Oryctolagus cuniculus: one gene and its partners. Each later gene encodes a partner of the first gene's protein in a complex. Links are inferred from orthologs where the notes say so. Each region holds a gene or a part of one and is shown on either strand. Other genes may lie near its edges.

What was found. Proteins that work in one complex are often made in the same cells at the same time.
Region 2: PRPF8 (region 1) and PRPF3 share a complex: the UniProt entries of both Homo sapiens proteins name them as parts of the U4/U6-U5 tri-snRNP complex. The link is inferred for Oryctolagus cuniculus from reciprocal best matches to the Homo sapiens genes PRPF8 and PRPF3.
Region 3: PRPF8 (region 1) and LSM8 share a complex: the UniProt entries of both Homo sapiens proteins name them as parts of the U4/U6-U5 tri-snRNP complex. The link is inferred for Oryctolagus cuniculus from reciprocal best matches to the Homo sapiens genes PRPF8 and LSM8.
Region 4: PRPF8 (region 1) and PRPF6 share a complex: the UniProt entries of both Homo sapiens proteins name them as parts of the U4/U6-U5 tri-snRNP complex. The link is inferred for Oryctolagus cuniculus from reciprocal best matches to the Homo sapiens genes PRPF8 and PRPF6.

Annotation. Positions count from the first base shown.
Region 1 is NC_091448.1:47,183,762-47,187,270, reverse strand, and holds part of PRPF8 (pre-mRNA-processing-splicing factor 8), read left to right. Parts: intron 1-87; coding exon 88-234; intron 235-381; coding exon 382-542; intron 543-840; coding exon 841-1,032; intron 1,033-1,996; coding exon 1,997-2,234; intron 2,235-2,351; coding exon 2,352-2,480; intron 2,481-3,509. UniProt on the Homo sapiens protein: Plays a role in pre-mRNA splicing as core component of precatalytic, catalytic and postcatalytic spliceosomal complexes, both of the predominant U2-type spliceosome and the minor U12-type spliceosome.
Region 2 is NC_091438.1:47,654,639-47,658,807, reverse strand, and holds the start of PRPF3 (U4/U6 small nuclear ribonucleoprotein Prp3), read left to right. Parts: upstream 1-1,363; 5' UTR 1,364-1,503; intron 1,504-3,039; exon of another isoform or gene 3,040-3,231; intron 3,232-4,169. UniProt on the Homo sapiens protein: Plays a role in pre-mRNA splicing as component of the U4/U6-U5 tri-snRNP complex that is involved in spliceosome assembly, and as component of the precatalytic spliceosome (spliceosome B complex).
Region 3 is NC_091434.1:153,846,746-153,851,022, forward strand, and holds the start of LSM8 (LSM8 homolog, U6 small nuclear RNA associated), read left to right. Parts: upstream 1-1,471; 5' UTR 1,472-1,674; coding exon 1,675-1,705; intron 1,706-2,739; coding exon 2,740-2,780; intron 2,781-4,277. UniProt on the Homo sapiens protein: Plays a role in pre-mRNA splicing as component of the U4/U6-U5 tri-snRNP complex that is involved in spliceosome assembly, and as component of the precatalytic spliceosome (spliceosome B complex).
Region 4 is NC_091442.1:205,096-209,356, reverse strand, and holds the start of PRPF6 (pre-mRNA-processing factor 6), read left to right. Parts: upstream 1-1,455; coding exon 1,456-1,796; exon of another isoform or gene 1,797-1,944; coding exon of another isoform or gene 1,945-1,967; intron 1,968-2,080; coding exon of another isoform or gene 2,081-2,221; intron 2,222-2,306; coding exon of another isoform or gene 2,307-2,478; intron 2,479-2,555; coding exon of another isoform or gene 2,556-2,737; intron 2,738-2,954; coding exon of another isoform or gene 2,955-3,020; intron 3,021-4,261. Other genes in the region: SAMD10 (sterile alpha motif domain-containing protein 10), read right to left, coding at 1,945-1,967, 2,081-2,221, 2,307-2,478, 2,556-2,737, 2,955-3,020. UniProt on the Homo sapiens protein: Involved in pre-mRNA splicing as component of the U4/U6-U5 tri-snRNP complex, one of the building blocks of the spliceosome.

The DNA.
Region 1 (3,509 bases):
AGGGAAGTTACAAGTGTTTCCACTGCCTTAGTTATGTCCTGCGAGCCAAAGGCTCGAGCTCTAGTGTCACGTTCGTTTTCCTGGCAGGTGTACGTAGGCTTTCAGGTGCAGCTGGACCTGACAGGTATCTTCATGCATGGCAAGATCCCCACCCTGAAGATCTCCCTCATCCAGATATTCCGAGCTCACCTGTGGCAGAAGATCCATGAAAGCATTGTCATGGACTTGTGTCAGGTGGGTCGGCTTGCTCTCTTGTATATGGGAAATCTGCTGAGGATGCTCTGGGATGAGAGTCCCGTTACTTGGTTGTCTTAGATTCTACAGAGCTTCATTCTGAGTGGCTTCCAAAATGCATCACAGCCTTTCTGCTTTTGCCTTCAGGTGTTTGACCAAGAACTGGATGCGCTGGAAATTGAGACAGTACAGAAGGAGACGATTCATCCTCGAAAGTCCTATAAGATGAACTCTTCCTGTGCAGATATACTGCTCTTTGCCTCGTATAAGTGGAATGTCTCCCGGCCTTCGTTGCTGGCAGACTCCAAGTGCGTGCCTCATGGCCCAAACCTAGGCATTCAGGAACCTTCATTTCACTGTCCCTTTAGTAATACTGGTCTAGAAACTATCCCTTGGCTGTCCTTCTTCCAAACTTGGAGTCAGTGATGGTCTTGGCCCCTGTCAACACCTTCCATCAGATCTGCCCATTCTCTGGGAAGCTTGCTGATCTGGAATAGAGCAAGGATGGTTTTAGGATATAGGGGTAGTGGTTGGGAGTTCTAGTGGTTCTGGGAACATGGGTTACACCCATGGCTTCCTGAGAACCTGACGCCTCTCTACCCTCAGGGATGTGATGGACAGCACCACCACTCAGAAGTATTGGATTGACATCCAGTTGCGCTGGGGGGACTACGATTCCCATGACATTGAGCGCTATGCACGGGCCAAGTTTCTGGACTACACCACAGACAACATGAGTATTTACCCTTCACCCACAGGTGTGCTCATTGCCATTGACCTGGCCTATAACCTGCACAGGTGAGTTGGGGCTCAGACACATCTGTTTTCCATCAGCCCCATACTTTAATGTAGATGTGCTTTTTCAGTTTGCTTCAAGAAGATGAGGTTGGCCATTTCCTCTGGGTCACTGACTCTTCTTTTGGGATACATTTACATGAGCAGAGTTTTTTGTGTGTTTATTTGTTTGAAAGATTTTTTTTTTTTTTTTTTTTTTTTTTTTTTTTTTTTTTTTTTTTGGACAGGAAGCGTGGACAGTGAGAGAGAGAGAGAGACAGAGAGAAAGGTCTTCCTTTTGCTGTTGGTTCACCCTCCAATGGCTGCCACGGCCGGCATGCTGTGGCCGGCACACTGTGCTGATCCAAAGGCAGGAGCCAGATGCTTCTCCTGGTCTCCCATGGGGTGCAGGGCCCAAGCACTTGGGCCATCCTCCACTGCCTTCCCGGGCCACAGCAGAGAGCTGGCCTGGAAGAGGGGCAACTGGGACAGAATCCGGCACCCTGACCGGGACTAGAACCCGGTGTGCTGGCGCCACAGGCGGAGGATTATCCTATTGAGCCACAGCACCGGCGAAAGATTTATTTATTTGAAAGGCACCATTACAGAGAGAGGGAGATATAGAGATATCTGCTATATACTGATTTACTCCCCAGATGGCCTCAACAGCCAGACAGAAGCTGGGCCAGACAGAAGCCAGGATCTCCCAGACAGGGGCCCAGCTACTTGAGCCATCTTCCACTGCTGTCCCAGGTGCATTGGCACGGAGGTGGATCAGAAGTGGAACATCTGGAATTTGAACTGGTGCCCACATAGGATGTTGGCACCCAGTGGGCGGCAGCTTAACCTGCTGCATCACAGCACCGGCCCCCACATGAGATTACTGGCAGCCCAACTAGCAGTCTTCCTCCTTCTATAAAGTTGCATTTGCCTTGTCTTGGGGCTTTCAGCCTGAGCTTAACTTTTCTTGCCCTGTGCACCCTCACAGTGCCTATGGAAACTGGTTCCCAGGCAGCAAGCCCCTCATACAGCAGGCCATGGCCAAGATCATGAAGGCCAACCCAGCCTTGTATGTGTTACGTGAACGAATCCGCAAGGGATTGCAGCTCTATTCATCTGAGCCCACTGAGCCTTATCTGTCCTCTCAGAATTATGGTGAGCTCTTCTCCAACCAGATTATCTGGTTTGTGGATGACACTAATGTCTACAGAGTGACAATCCACAAGGTGAGTGTCAGGTGCACTAAAGGGTGTGGGGCTTTGCTTCTGCCCTTGGGAGGGTAACCGAGTAAGTGGGATGAAGGCAAGCAGATGACCATACTAACCAATGTATTCTTTCTTTAGACATTTGAGGGGAACTTGACAACCAAACCCATCAATGGGGCCATCTTCATCTTCAACCCACGTACAGGGCAGCTATTCCTCAAGATAATCCACACATCCGTGTGGGCGGGACAGAAACGTCTGGGGCAGGTGAGCAGGTTAAAGGATGGAGAGACTGTAGAACATGGCTGCCTCTTATTCTAGGTGGGGGACGGGAGAGTTGTATACTGCTTTTCTCTATTGAAAGACGGAGAACATGTTATTTATTCATTCATTTATTTGAAAGAATTGCAAAGAGAGAACAAGCTCCCATCTGCTGGTTCACTCCCCAAGTGGCTGCAATGGCCAGGGCTGGGCCAGGCTGAACCAGGAGCCAGGAACTCCATCTGGGCCTCCCACATAGGTGGCAGAGTCCCAAGCACTTGGGCCATGATATGCTGCCTTTTCATGCACATTAGCAGGGAACTGGATTAGAAGTGGAGCAGCCAAGACTGGAGAACCGGCAGCTATATAATCTATCTTGAACATTGCTACCAAAAATTATCTTTCTAAAGATAATTAAAGCATCATTTTCACTTCTTCACTGCCCTAAAGTCTGGCACATCCTCCTTCTTGCTGAATTAACTCTTCTTTGGCTTCCTAGATGTTTGCTGTCTGACTGGGCTGCACCTGTCCAGCCGTAGTTTCTCTTCCTTTATATTTCCAGCCTGTTTCCGCCTGTAGTTCCAGGATACTAATATCCAGAACCTGATGTTCATCTGACTTTGTGGCTTTACTCACAGTTTCCTCACTTTGTAGAATGGACTTCCTCTGTATATCAGTATTTTTGTCTTTTTTTTTTTTTCCCAAAGATTTATTTTATTTGAAAGTCAGAGTTACAGAGAGAGAAGGGAAGAGAGAAAGAGATCTTTATCTGTTGGTTCTCTTATATGACCACAACAGCCAGGGCCTGGGCCAGGCAGAAGCCAAAAGCTACATCCAGGTCTCCCACGTGGGTGCAGGGGCCCAAAGATGCTGCCATCTTCCCCGCGGTTTCCAAAACTCATTAGCAGGAAGCTGGATTGGAAATGGAGCAGCTGGGACTTGAACCATGCCCATATGGGAAGCTGGCATTGTAGGCAATGGCTTATGCTGTTAGGCCAGAACACTAGCCCTGTTTGTCATTCTTACGCATTAAGA
Region 2 (4,169 bases), on another chromosome or scaffold:
GAGTGACCGCACCCAAGGAATACTCCAGATACGCCCTGTCCCAAACAACGGATGGGTGGCACCCCGGGAAACTCCAAGAGGGAGCACAACTGATTGGTGACACCCGGACCCCTACTGGAGACTCCCCCTTCAGAGTGGCAAGGATAAAGGAGAGCCTTTTCCACCGCTCTCGAGGATCATGGCCCGATGTGTGTGAACCTCTGGATCTCCACACATCTGGAGCTGAAGAGCCAGCTTGCTAGCACCCTTGCTAAGTGACGCAAGGCGATTACGGGACCAAACTCCAGCGGAGCCGCTGCCTGGCCGCCTCACCCGGACCCGTTATTGGCTGCTGCCAGACCAACACCAGACCTCTCAGCAGGGGACCTCTCCAACTCCTTGCCTTGCCCTCTGAACCTACTGCCCAGAGTGACAGCCATCCCCAAACTTCCTGCCTGTAACTGACTGTCCTGAGATCCATCTCTCCGAGTGGTAACGAAGACTTTGAACTCTGGACTTTGGACTTTGACTTTTGGTGACCGTGATACGACCCTTGAGGACGCAGCACTTATAATGATATTAGCCGTGTGTAATATGAAGGCATGTGCCTTGACCCTGTGATTAAGAATAATGTTATGTGCTTATATTATTATAGTTGGATTGCCTTTGAGACTGCTAGGTGTGTGTTATGATCTGTGGAGTACTGAATATAACAATGTAGATTGGTATGCAGAGTGGTCAAGCCCTAGTGTGAAATTGTGTGGGCAATAAAAACCTTTCATTGGAAAGACAATCTTGTGTCCATGTGTTCCTTCCTCCCTGTGCTCCGACACCTCGCCCTTAAGCCCTGTCGAGCTGCGTGACAGCAGGCATTCGCGACAATCACTAAAGCAATACTCTCAAGTGGCCAGCACACATTAGTAGGCAGTTGATAAAGATTTGTTCCGTCAATGAATGAATCTAACAATAAAAAGGTATTAGAAGCTACTTGCTTGAGTCTTCCTACCCTTGTCTTGTTCCTGAATGACCTCCGGTCCCACTGTTAACTTAGAAAAGGCTGGGGGGCGACTAAAGCTGATGATCAGGACTCCGAGAGGGTTTACTTTCTACCAGAAAGGCCACGTTTCAGCACGCACAAACAAGTCCTCCTTTTAGTCCTGTAACTTTAGAGCGTTTATCCGCCACACGAAGAAAACTAAAAATTGTTTTGTTTGCGTTTTTTTTTAAACTGAAAACCACCTAAAGTTACGCCAACTTCGTAATCTTTTTTCCCTGTAGAAACCGAAGGCCAGCAGCAACTTGGACGGGGAAACCTTAGGGCTGTGCCACGCATGCGCTCCGCTGTCGCCAGAGCGGCAACTGCGGCTGCGCAAATCGACGGCCCGCCCCCTCCCTGGTCACGTGTCAGGGGACCGCAGCGTGGCGGCGGCCGTGGCGGTAGCGACGGCAGGCCGTAGGGCGGTCAGAAGGTTTCCGGTTCCGGTGTAACGTTCGGGCTCCGTCTCAGGGGCTGAAGTTTGTGAGGTGAGTAGTGGCCCCGGGCCCGGGGAGGGTGTCTTCCCGTCGGAGCGGCTGGGGCCGGGGCTGAGTCCGAGGGGAGGAACAGGGTGAAGGGTCCAGCGGGAAGGATGCTGAGAGAAGCACACGGTTCGGGAGAGAACGGATTGGAATGAGATTGTTGAGAGGAAAAGGGCGGGGGCGGGACGGGGACAGGCTGGGGAGAGCAGCTCTGGGGTGAGGAGTTTGGACAGAACAAGGTGAGGGAGGAGGCCGGTGAGAGAGAGAGCGAGAGTAAAAACAGGAGGAGGGGGGCTCCTGGGAGCACTCGGGTTGCAGCAAAGGAGAGCGTAGAGTAGGGAATCCTTTAAGAAGATTGGATTCTGCTGCCTGCTCATTGAGCAGTCATTCTGCCTGCCTCCCTTTCTGCACGCCAGCTCTCCCCGCCCCCACTCCCACCAGCCGTTATTATGGAGCATTGGGTCAGTAGCAAAGGCTGCTGTTGGAAACTTTTTTTTTTTTTTTAACATCTCAGAGGGAATTAGGTTGAACTTGAATACACTTTTGTTAGTACAGCGCTTGGGCACACATTTCATCTGAAAATAAAGATTCTTCCGTTTATTGCTTTGGTTTTCAAATTGCTTACTCTTTCTGGCCTGTGATGGAGTTTTCGTGGAATGTAGGCCCTTGTTACAGCCAGGGTGATTGTATTTTGTTCTCTGCTGTTTGTATCAGCACCTTCTACATTGCTTGACACTTAGTATTTGAGTAAACAGGGGCTTATGGGAATTAATTTGCCCAAGGGCTTGTGAATGATGGGATTAGCTTGGGAGTAGGGGTCTGTACCATTTATTGACCATCTGTTAGGCACTGTGAAGAACATTAGAAATAAAATCTTTGTGCTCCTGAGGAATTTGGAGAGTTAGGGATTAGATTAAAATATAGACATGATTAATGGTGACATTTTATACTAACTTGCATTGAATACAAAGATTTGTGTGGGAGAGTCCTTTATAATACTATTTTCTGTGATGAATTAAAAAGTAGGGTACAGGTAAAAAGGGATTGAGAAGAGAACATCTAAAGTGAGGGCATTTTTTTTTCCCAAGCTGAGAGAGTACTTTCATCACGACTTCTCACAGAGATCCTGTAGAATGCAATGGAGAATTTGCACTGTGCTGTCCTGCAGTAGCTTAAGCTGCCGCTTGAGACATGTGTGTGCCATACTGGAGTGCCTGTGTTTGAGTCTCGCCCCTGCTTCCAGTCCACCTTGCTGTTGCGTATCTTGGGAGGCAGTAGATGATGGCTCAAGTACTTGGGTCTTTGAGACCCGTGTGGGCACCTTGGATAGAGCTCCTGGCCCCTGGCTTTGGTGTGGTCCAGTCCTGACTATTGTGGGCATTTGGAGAATGGACTCAAGTGCATGGTAGGGGTCCAAGTACTCAAGCCATCACCTGCAACCTACCAAAATGTGCAGTTATCAGGAAGCTGGAATGAAGAGTGGAGCCAGGACTCAAACCCAGGCATTCCAAGCTGGTCTTGTCTTTTTCTTTCTTTCTTTAGAGATTCATTTATTTATTTGAAAGGCAGACTGACAGAAAGATCTTCTGAATCCACTCGTTCACTCCCTAAATGTCACAAAAGCAGGGGCTGGGGCTGGGCCACCACTGAATCCAGGAGCCAAGAACTTCATCCAGGTCTCTCATGTGGGTGGCAAGAACTCAAGCACTTGAGCCATCATCTGCTGCTTTCCAGGCATGTTGCAAAGGGCTGTTATTGGAAGGGGAGTATTTGGGACTCAAACTGGTGCTCTGATACAGGATGCAGATGTCTCAAGCAGTGACTTAACCTGCTGTAGCACACAATACCTGCCCTGCAAGCAGGGTCTTACCTACTACAGCAAACACCTGCCCTTTAGTCTTGTTTTAAATTCATTTATTTATTTTTATTTGAAAGGCAGAAAAAAAACCATAGAGACAGAGATCGTCCATTTGCTAGTTCATTTCCAAAATGCCCACTGTAGCTGGGGCTGGGCCAGGCCAAAGCCAGGAGCCTAAAACTCAATTGAGGTCTCATGTGGATGACAGGGACCCAAATCCTTGAGCCATCATCCCCTGGGATTGGAAGTAGAGCTGGGACTTGACGAACACATGGGTGTCCCAAGCCACCACACCAAACTCCTGCCCCTACCCTAGTCTTGTTTTAATGTTATATGCCAGTCTTTATTGATTTGCTCAAAAGGAAGCTAGAAGTAATTTTTAGAGTTTGTTTCTTCCACAGGTTTCATTGATTTTTTTTTTCTAAGATTCATTTTTTTTATTTATTTGAAAGGCAGAGAGAGAGAAAAGGAGAAAGAGAGAGAAAGAGATCTTCCATCCACTGGTTCACTTCCCAAATGGCCACAATGGCTGGGGCTGGGCCAGGCTGGGCCAGGCTGAAGCCAGGAGCCAGGAGCTTCTTCTGGGTCTCCCATGTTGGTGAAGGGGCCCAAGCACTTGGGCCATCCTCTGCTACTTTCCCAGACCCATTAGCAGGGAGTGGGATTGGAAGTGCAGCAGCCAGGTCTCGAACCAGCGACTATATGGGATGCCAGTGTCACAGGTGGAGGCTTAACCACAACACCAGCCCTCATTGATCCTTTGATAACTACTGAGTTAGGGTTAAAAATCAAATGGAATGTATTTGTTTCTGCT
Region 3 (4,277 bases), on another chromosome or scaffold:
TGTGACACCAAACTCTATGTTCATATACAGCCATGGTCACGAGGCTAATTAAGATAAATCTAATATGCAACCTTTACATCCAGATGTAACTCATTTTTTATGTCTTAATAAATAGATTTTGCCTATTCATAGGCTTTACCTCCACAACTGCTATCTTTAGGCATCATAGAAAGTACAGTAGTTTAAAGACACAAATTAAAAAATTTAACCCAGAGATTTTGTGATGCTTCCCCAAACACTGTATCTGCTATCCTCCTAAATTAATTTAATGGAAAACACAATGTTATAGCCTTATAATGTATTTATGATGAAATTAGTTCCATTAAGTTATTTTATGTCAATAAACATTTTCAAAACGTAAGAACACTCTTAGGAAATACAAAGCTACATTCATTGTAAAAAGGTGACACACAGGCTATTTCTAAAAAGGAACTTACTAACAAGACCTCATTTACCATCAATTACTTTTTTATTTCAAAGCCTAGTATTTGCAAATCACACACTATCTTTTTTTTTCCCTCCCATTTTTGGAAGATAGTAATTTGTTTCCCAGGGTATATGAAGAACATTTGTGGTTTATGAGTGCATAAAAATATTTGGGAGTGACCTTGTCCGTACTTTTGTGGGCATGATTTAATGAACAGATAAATGCTTCACTTTCCAGGGGAAAACTGCTGACACTGCAAGTTACCTCAGGCCACAGTTCTCCCGTTCAAGACAAGACTAATTAAAATCAGAGACTCCTTGTACACAGCGGAAGTCTCTTGCGTACAGACCTCATCAGTTACCACAGTGAAATAATGGGGTAAGAGTGACGTTTTCTAGTACCATCCAGAAATATCCAAAACGATCCCGGCAGGGTCTAAGGAAACCGAGGCCCAGAGGCGGTGACAGGAGTCGTGCAGGGCCACAATCGGTTACCAGGGTGTGAGCCAGCACCTGGTCTGGTGCTCACCTACGACCCCCATCAGTCCTCTAAAGACAGATGTCAGCAGAGGCAAGGACACCTCGCACCGCGGTGCGGCCCAAGCTGCGGCCGTTTGCCTGGGCAGCGCACACACCTTTCCCCATTCGCATTTAGGTTCCTCAAGGGGCCAGCACCGCCGCTTTTCACGGCCGGGTTCTCCGGAGGTAACATCTGTGGTTACACTGCTAACTTGGTCTTGGGCCAGGAGCTTCTTCAGTTTAGTTTACTTTTCGGCCCGTGCTACAGCACAGGGGAGTCCACGTCCCTGTCCGTACGCTTCCTCCATTTCCTCCTAAAGACAACACCTTACTCCATCTCCTCCTGCGCGTTCTGAAGCCACACGACTTGCCCACAGCCTTCCCCTCGGCTAGTACACTCGCTCTCCCGCTTCACGCCGCCCACCGCTCCTAGGAAGCGGCTCACGCTCTTCCACCACCCCCAGGCTTTTGTCTCTCCCCGCTTCCGGATCACCGGCCGGAAGACCAGCGGAAACCCACTACGCACGCGCAGAAACTCGTCACCGCCTCCTGCCGTTGAATTGGCCTATTCCTTCCAAGTTCCGACTTGCGGGGGCCCACGGTGCCGCAATTCTCGCGATATTTGTTTCCGCCAACGGGAACGAGCCGCTTCGTGTTTCTGGCGGGCCCTTTTAGCTCTAATTGTCGCCGGCGCCGCTCTGTTGCCCCGGAACCTCCGGGCCGAGCAGCATGACGTCCGCTTTGGAAAACTACATAAACCGTATCCTCCGGTCGCCTGCCGTGAGCGTTGGCCGGGCACAGCGGGGCGGGTGCGAGAGCGGCGGGGGTCGGGCTCGGCGGGCGGGTGGGATCCCGGCCACGGCGGGACCCGGGGTGAGAGTGAGCGGGTGAAGCCTCCGGAGCAGCCGACCCCCTCCCGGCTCCCCTCCCGGCGTTCCAGCGGGCTCGGGACGCCTGGCGATTTTACACTGAGAGAGACACAGACCGACCCGAATGTCATTGTGGCCAACTTTTCCCTGATTGATAGATCCTCTGATTGATTGATTGATTGGCCTGTGTGTGCAAGTTTGGGGATGAGGTGAACGGTTGCGGCAACGAGCGTGTTGCAGATCTTTGCACTGTACTTGCTTCATTCGTAGGCTTGGCGTTTCTAATTGTTGATAAAATGAAGTCACATTTGTTGTTGGATTAGAGTGAGGGGCGGTAGTTTTTATTTATTTTTTTAATCTTAAAAGTATCGTTTAAAATGTTGCCGTTTTGAAGTCTCAGGGCAAAAATATTACGGTGTGCTCTCGTTCAAAATTGGAAACAGAAGTTCAGGACTGAAGGCGTCTCATGATGCAAGTGTTATTGGTACCTTATGGCACTGAGTATAGATTTCGTTGGAATGCCAGGATACAGGCCCTGGGAGACGGTGTCTTAACGTGCCTGAAATGAACATTAATTAATTTAGCACTCACCCAATTTTCATTTGAGAGAGAATAGGCCTAAGAAAGGAGGAAATGTCCTGCTTACATCAGAGATTTATTAGGCAGCATTCTTAGCAGAAAAGTGGCTGTTCTGATACAGGAGACACTGATCACAAGGAGAAAGAGGCTATTTCTCTCCCCTTTTTAATTGCATAATTATCACAGAGTCGGAGTTAAAGACATTAGAAATGATCTTAAGTTTTCACGCAGTGGCCATCTTGAATCTTAGATGTGTTACCTTTTCTGTAGTATTCAAACTGTTTCCTTACCAGAGTCTTAAGTGCTCAATTTGCCTTCTCCAAGCTTTCCTTGATTCAGTTATCAGGAACGGTAGCTGTTATTACTTCCGATGGGAGAATGATCGTGGTAAGTCTGGCATTTTCCTTCTCTGCTTGGCTTTGTGGGCTTGGTGGTTGTAAATGTTTACTAAAGCCTCCGATGTCTAACACCCAGACACCAAGGTACACCTGTCTCCTTATTGCTGTCTCTCTGCTGCCAGTCCCTATGTTCTTCACTAATAAACGTTGATTCTGTGTTACCTACAAGGCTTTTGAGGGAAGAATAGCTTTTGCCTTCAGAGAGCTTATAGTCTAATCTGCAGGTTTGTGTATTAAATTTGTCTTCTATTTTTGTTTCTTTCACCATTCAGTGCTATTGTCCTGACATTCACCAGATGAATCATAATAATCATTTGAAGCTTTGTATATTTTTAATCAGAAATTTTTAATGATTTAGATACATCTATATGAACATTTGAGCTTTTTATGATCTTAGTATCCTTTGAATATTCAAAGGTTGTAATGACCTCTGTCTTTGGCAAATAATGATGATTGACTCTGAATTTATATAAAAAGAACACTTCAAAATCTCATGGAAAATAGGCCTAAATGATAATGCAGCGGCGGGCATTTGGCACCAAGGATAAGAGACTAATTGAAACACTGGTGTTCCATATTGGAGTCCCAGCTATGGGTCCTGACTCCAGCCAGCATTTTTACTAATGCAGACTGGGAGGCTGTGGTGTTGGCTCAAGTAATTAGGTCTTTGCCACTCATGAGGGAGACCTGTTTTGAGTTCCTGTCTACTGGCTTCAGCTTATTCCAGCCTGCTATTGTTGGCATATGGGGAGTGAACCAGCGGATGGGAGATCACTGTCTGTCTCTGTGCCTAGTAGATAAATTTTTTTAAAAAGATAACATGAATTTTGTATGAACCTTTTGAAGTCCCCTGTTTTATATGTCCTCAGTCTGTTCCTTGAAGATATTTCTCAGTTGTTACTCCACCTTATGTTTCAAAGACAAAACTTCCTGTGACATATTTGTATTTGGAATTTGATCAAAGGAATTTATCCTATGGTTTGTAATTTATGCTGTGATTGCTGCTTTCAAAAAAACCCAAGGGCACAGTTAGTTTATAATCTAATCATTTCGAGTTAATTTCCTATTCTGCAGTTCTGTTTTGAACACTTAAAATTTTATCAGTGACTTCTTAGTGACAACTATGGCCACAGTTCTAGAGTTTACCATTTACTAAATGTATATCATATACCAGATTCTTTATATGTATTACATCATTATTCATTTTTTCAGTATAACCCTGGGAAGAGGGTTCTGTATTCTAAGTTAGGAACCAAGCTTGCAGAAAATGAGTTACTTTCCCATAGTCACAAAGACAGTAAATGACAGAACCAAATGGAGATTTGATATGGATTTAACTCCCAAGCCAAGGACAGTTGCCATGCTTCCCCTTTAATCAAGGAAGAACTCAATGGTCTTTTTAGGCACCTCACATTGTTTTTTTTGTTTGTTTGTTTTTTTGTTTTTGTCAAATATGAACAGCTTGAAATATTTTAAGCTCAGTACT
Region 4 (4,261 bases), on another chromosome or scaffold:
GTGTCAGGTCTGGGGCGAGGGGCCCGGCCCCTCAGGCTTGGGCATAGATGAGGCAGAGCGTGGTGGGCAGCGGCCTGCAGGTGCCCCAAGGCCCTGCCCCCTCCCTGACGCAGCCATCCTGCAGGGCTGGGAGAGAGGAACCCTGGGGTGGACCCTGTGTGGGCCACAGCGTCCACAGGCTTCTGCTGTGTGTGCTGCTGCATCTGCTGAGTTTCAGACGCCCCAGGAAAGCTCATGGACCTCTGCACCCCGTTGGACACTGCTGCGCGGGAGGTAGAGACAGGTGCATAGCCCTCTCTCAGGCCCTCTGCTTCAGCACCCCCTGCCCAGCCTGGGGGCAGAACTCAGGTTCACCAGGACCTCGGGGGAGGGGCTGGCCTGGGTCCCCTGGGGCGAGACTTCATTGCCAGTGCCTGCCCAGGGCTGGCGAATGAACGGCCCGGTGCCCTCGTGTGCCTGGGTGGCCATACCGTGAGGCTGGGGTGTTGTGTCCCGACCCTGCCCTGTGTGGGAGGCTGGAGCCCCGACCCTACAGGGGAGGCCTTCTTTGGAGGAGGGTTGCACACAGAGTCCCTGCCTGGGGAGATGAGAGGGAGCCAGGGCCAACAGGCAGGCACCAGAAACCCGAAGGGGCTTGGAGGCCCCACTGGGGTTGGCCTCTGGCCTCAGAGAAGGCAAAGGCCCCATCCCGGGACAGCAGCCCCAGGACCCCCCGTGGGGCGCCCCGGCTGTGGCCTCCGCCTTGGGGGAGGCCTCTTCAGAACGCAGCTCCACTGCCCCCTGGTGGCGCGGCCTGCAGGCAGCCAGGCATGCCGCCCCCCCCCCCCACACCCAGTGCAGCAGGCACTTGAGAACCACGTTTATTTGTTTGTTTTTTTCTTCTCTTTGTCAGAGTATAAAAAAGTGAACGCAAGACAAGACAAGACAGGGGCACGGGGTGGGCAAGACAGAGGCAGGAGGATGGGTGGCGGCAGGAAGGGCTCCCTGGGGAAAGACCTATAGCACAGGGTGGTCGGGGACAGGGACACGGGCAGCTGGGGGTCATGGCACAGGACGGAGGTGCCAGGCCAGTTTTCCGAATGCCACTCGGGACCTGCGGCTGCGATGACCAACCTCGCACCCAAGGCCGGCTCAGGGCACACAGAGGGGCTGGGCTCAGCCTCATCTGTCCCTGAGAGAGCCCGGGGGGGGGGGGAGTGGGAGAGGGCTGCCCTGCACCCAGGGAGGGGATGCTCTGGCGTCTGTGGGCAGATGTGGGGCCGAGGCCCTTGGGACAGCCTCTCCTGTGAATCCAGATCTTCCCGGGAGAGTGACAACGGAAAATGTCTGTGCCACTGACCCGGGCAGAAGATGCTGGATCGCAATAGTCCCCCAGGCACCGGCTGAGGAGCAGCACTGAGCCCAGGCCCCTGCGTGAGGTCACCTCATTGGGTGGCTTCGTCTTCACGGGTGTGGATGCCCCCTGGCCTCAGTTCTCACGGACTCGGAGCAGGGAGCCAGCTTCAGCATGCGCTGGGTGTGGCAGCCAGCCGCTGGGTTCTGATGACCATTCCTCTGGGCCGTGAGTTGGGCCTGCCGGGCCCTGGCAGGGACAGGAGGGGCACCGAGCTAGGAGGGCTGAGGAGTTCATCCCAGCTGGGTGGCAGACGGGTCAGTGCTGTGACGCTGCAGGCACCTGGCCATCTCTGGCTCGAGAGAGCTGCTGCACACGCGGCCAGCAGCACGTGCTCTGGTCCCAGGAGGAAGGGCGCCCAACCCCGATGCGGCGTGGAGTGCCCACCCAGAAGCACCTGGAGGTGAGCGTCCTGGTCCCGCCTGTCCACAGAACTGGGCTCTGCTGCCCAGGCGTCCACAGGGTCCGGGAGCTGAGCCGCCAGCACCATTTCGTCCCTGGCCACGGGCTCCAGTCACAGTGCTGGTCTGGGGTTTGAGCCTCAGCAGCAGCTAGGACATGTTTCCGAAGGAAGCTGCGGGGTAGATGGGGGCGAATGGGGGTGGACCCTTCCCGGGCCCCTCCAGCCAGTCTCCTGAGATCCTTCAGAGACCCCTCCCAGCCCCGCCCCCAGCCTCTCCCACAGACCTTGGCTGAGCAGCTGCAGGCTCCGCCCCTCCTCGCGCACCTGCAGGTGCAGCACCTGCTGTAGCACCTCCTGCCTCTGGGCCTCCTGCGCCAGCCCCATGCGTTGCAGCTTCTCCGCATTCAGCCGCAGCAGTGCCCGGCCTGCAGGGAGAGGGGCGGACAAGCTGAGGCCCACAGGGACACTCGGGACTCACCCAGGGGCGCGGGAGGGCAGCAGCCGGCGTACCGGTGATGGCGTGTTGGGAGAAGGCCTCGACATAGACGAGGTAGTTGTGGGGACAGTGCTTCTTGAGCCACTTGCACACGTCCTGCTGAGTCCACAGCACCACGGGCCGCGTCAGGCCGCCCAGCGGGGGGCTGGTGTGGTACAGGCCGTAGTGGTCCGAGTACAGCTGGCCCTGCAGGGAGAGGAGGGTGGTGGGCGCAGTGAGGGTGGCGTAGTGGGCGCGGGGGGCGGGGGCGGGCGGCGGGGTACCTGGGGGGCCTCTGTGCCTGGCTGCTGCAGGAGCTTGATGGGTCTGCTGCCGCACGCCCTCTGGCTGCGGGGGTCGTGCCACGTGAGGCTGGTGCCCGGCGTTCGAGGCAGGTGGCAGGGGATGCTCTCGGCGGACACCGTGTGCTCCAGGACGGTCCGGCAGAAGCTGAAGTGGGCGGTGGCTGTGTGCGGGGGCCCTGGTCAGGCTCCTGAGAGGCAGCTCCCCTGTCGTGCCCGTCTCCTCCCCACCCCTGAGGGGAGTCACATCCCCAAGCCCCCCCCCCCCCGGCAGGAGTCCAGAGACTGGAGGCACCACGCCTCCTACCTGCAGAGGACCCACACTCCAGGGAGCCAGGCAAGGGGCGGCAGGGGCGGCAGGGGCAGCCTTGAGCTATACACCTTGCCTAGGGCTGGCCTCTGAGCCTCCCGCATGCAGCACAGGACCTGCATATGCACACACGGGACCTGGGCATACACACACAGGATTAGTGCACACACACACGAGACCCGTGTACACACACACATAGTACCTGTGCACACATACACATGGGACCAGAGCACACACACGGGACCTGGACACACACATACACACAGGATCAGTGTGCACACACACAAGACTTGCATGTACACACACGAGACCTGCACATACACACATGGCACCAGGGCACATAAACAGAACCTGTGCACACACACACAGGATCTTCATTCACATACATGGGATCTGGGCACACACACAAGGACCTGTGCACACACACTGGACCTACAGGCACTCACATGGGACCTGGGCACACACACAGGACCTGCAAACACACATATGGGACCCATGCACACACACACTGGACCTACAGGCACTCACATGGGACCTGTGTGCGTGTGTGCATACGTATGGGACCTGTGCACACACACATGGGACCTGCAGGCACACACACAGGACCTGTGCACACACACTGGACCTACAGGCACTCACATGGGACCTGTGCACACATACATGGGACCTGCAGGCACACACACAGGACCTGTGCACACACATGAGACCTATAGGCACGCATATGGGACCTGTGCACACACATAGGACCTGCAAACACACACACTGGATCTACATGCACACACACACAGGACCTGTGCACACACACACAGGACCTGTGTGCACACACACGGGACCTGCAGGCACACACATGGGACCCACATGCACACACACAGGACTTGCAGACACACATATGGGACCTGTGCATACACAGGACGCACACACACACAGGACCTGCAGACACACATATGGGATCTGTGCACACACATGGGACCTGTGCACACACATGGGACCTGGGCACACACAAGGGACCCACACACACACACACACACACAGGACCTGCCTTTGCAGAGGGCAGGCCCTGCCTGCTGGGCAGCCTTTGCAGGGAGACGGTCCCACTGAAGTCGCCCTGGCCCGAAACACTGTGTCCACAGCCCTGCCCCATGTCCCTCCTGACGGCCTGCCCTGGCAAATCCTCCCGCACCACAAGCTGGGCCCAGGACAGCACCTGGTGCTTAGCACAGGGGTGCAGCCATTGCCCAGAGACCCCAGTGACGCCCCTTCCTCCCTGCTCCTTCAGCCTGTTTCCCGGTGCTGGTACCCCCGGGGCAGGCAGCGGCTCCGCGGACCCTCTCCCATCCCGGTGGGATCCCGGCTGCTGTCAGGTCGCGGTGCACAGGCG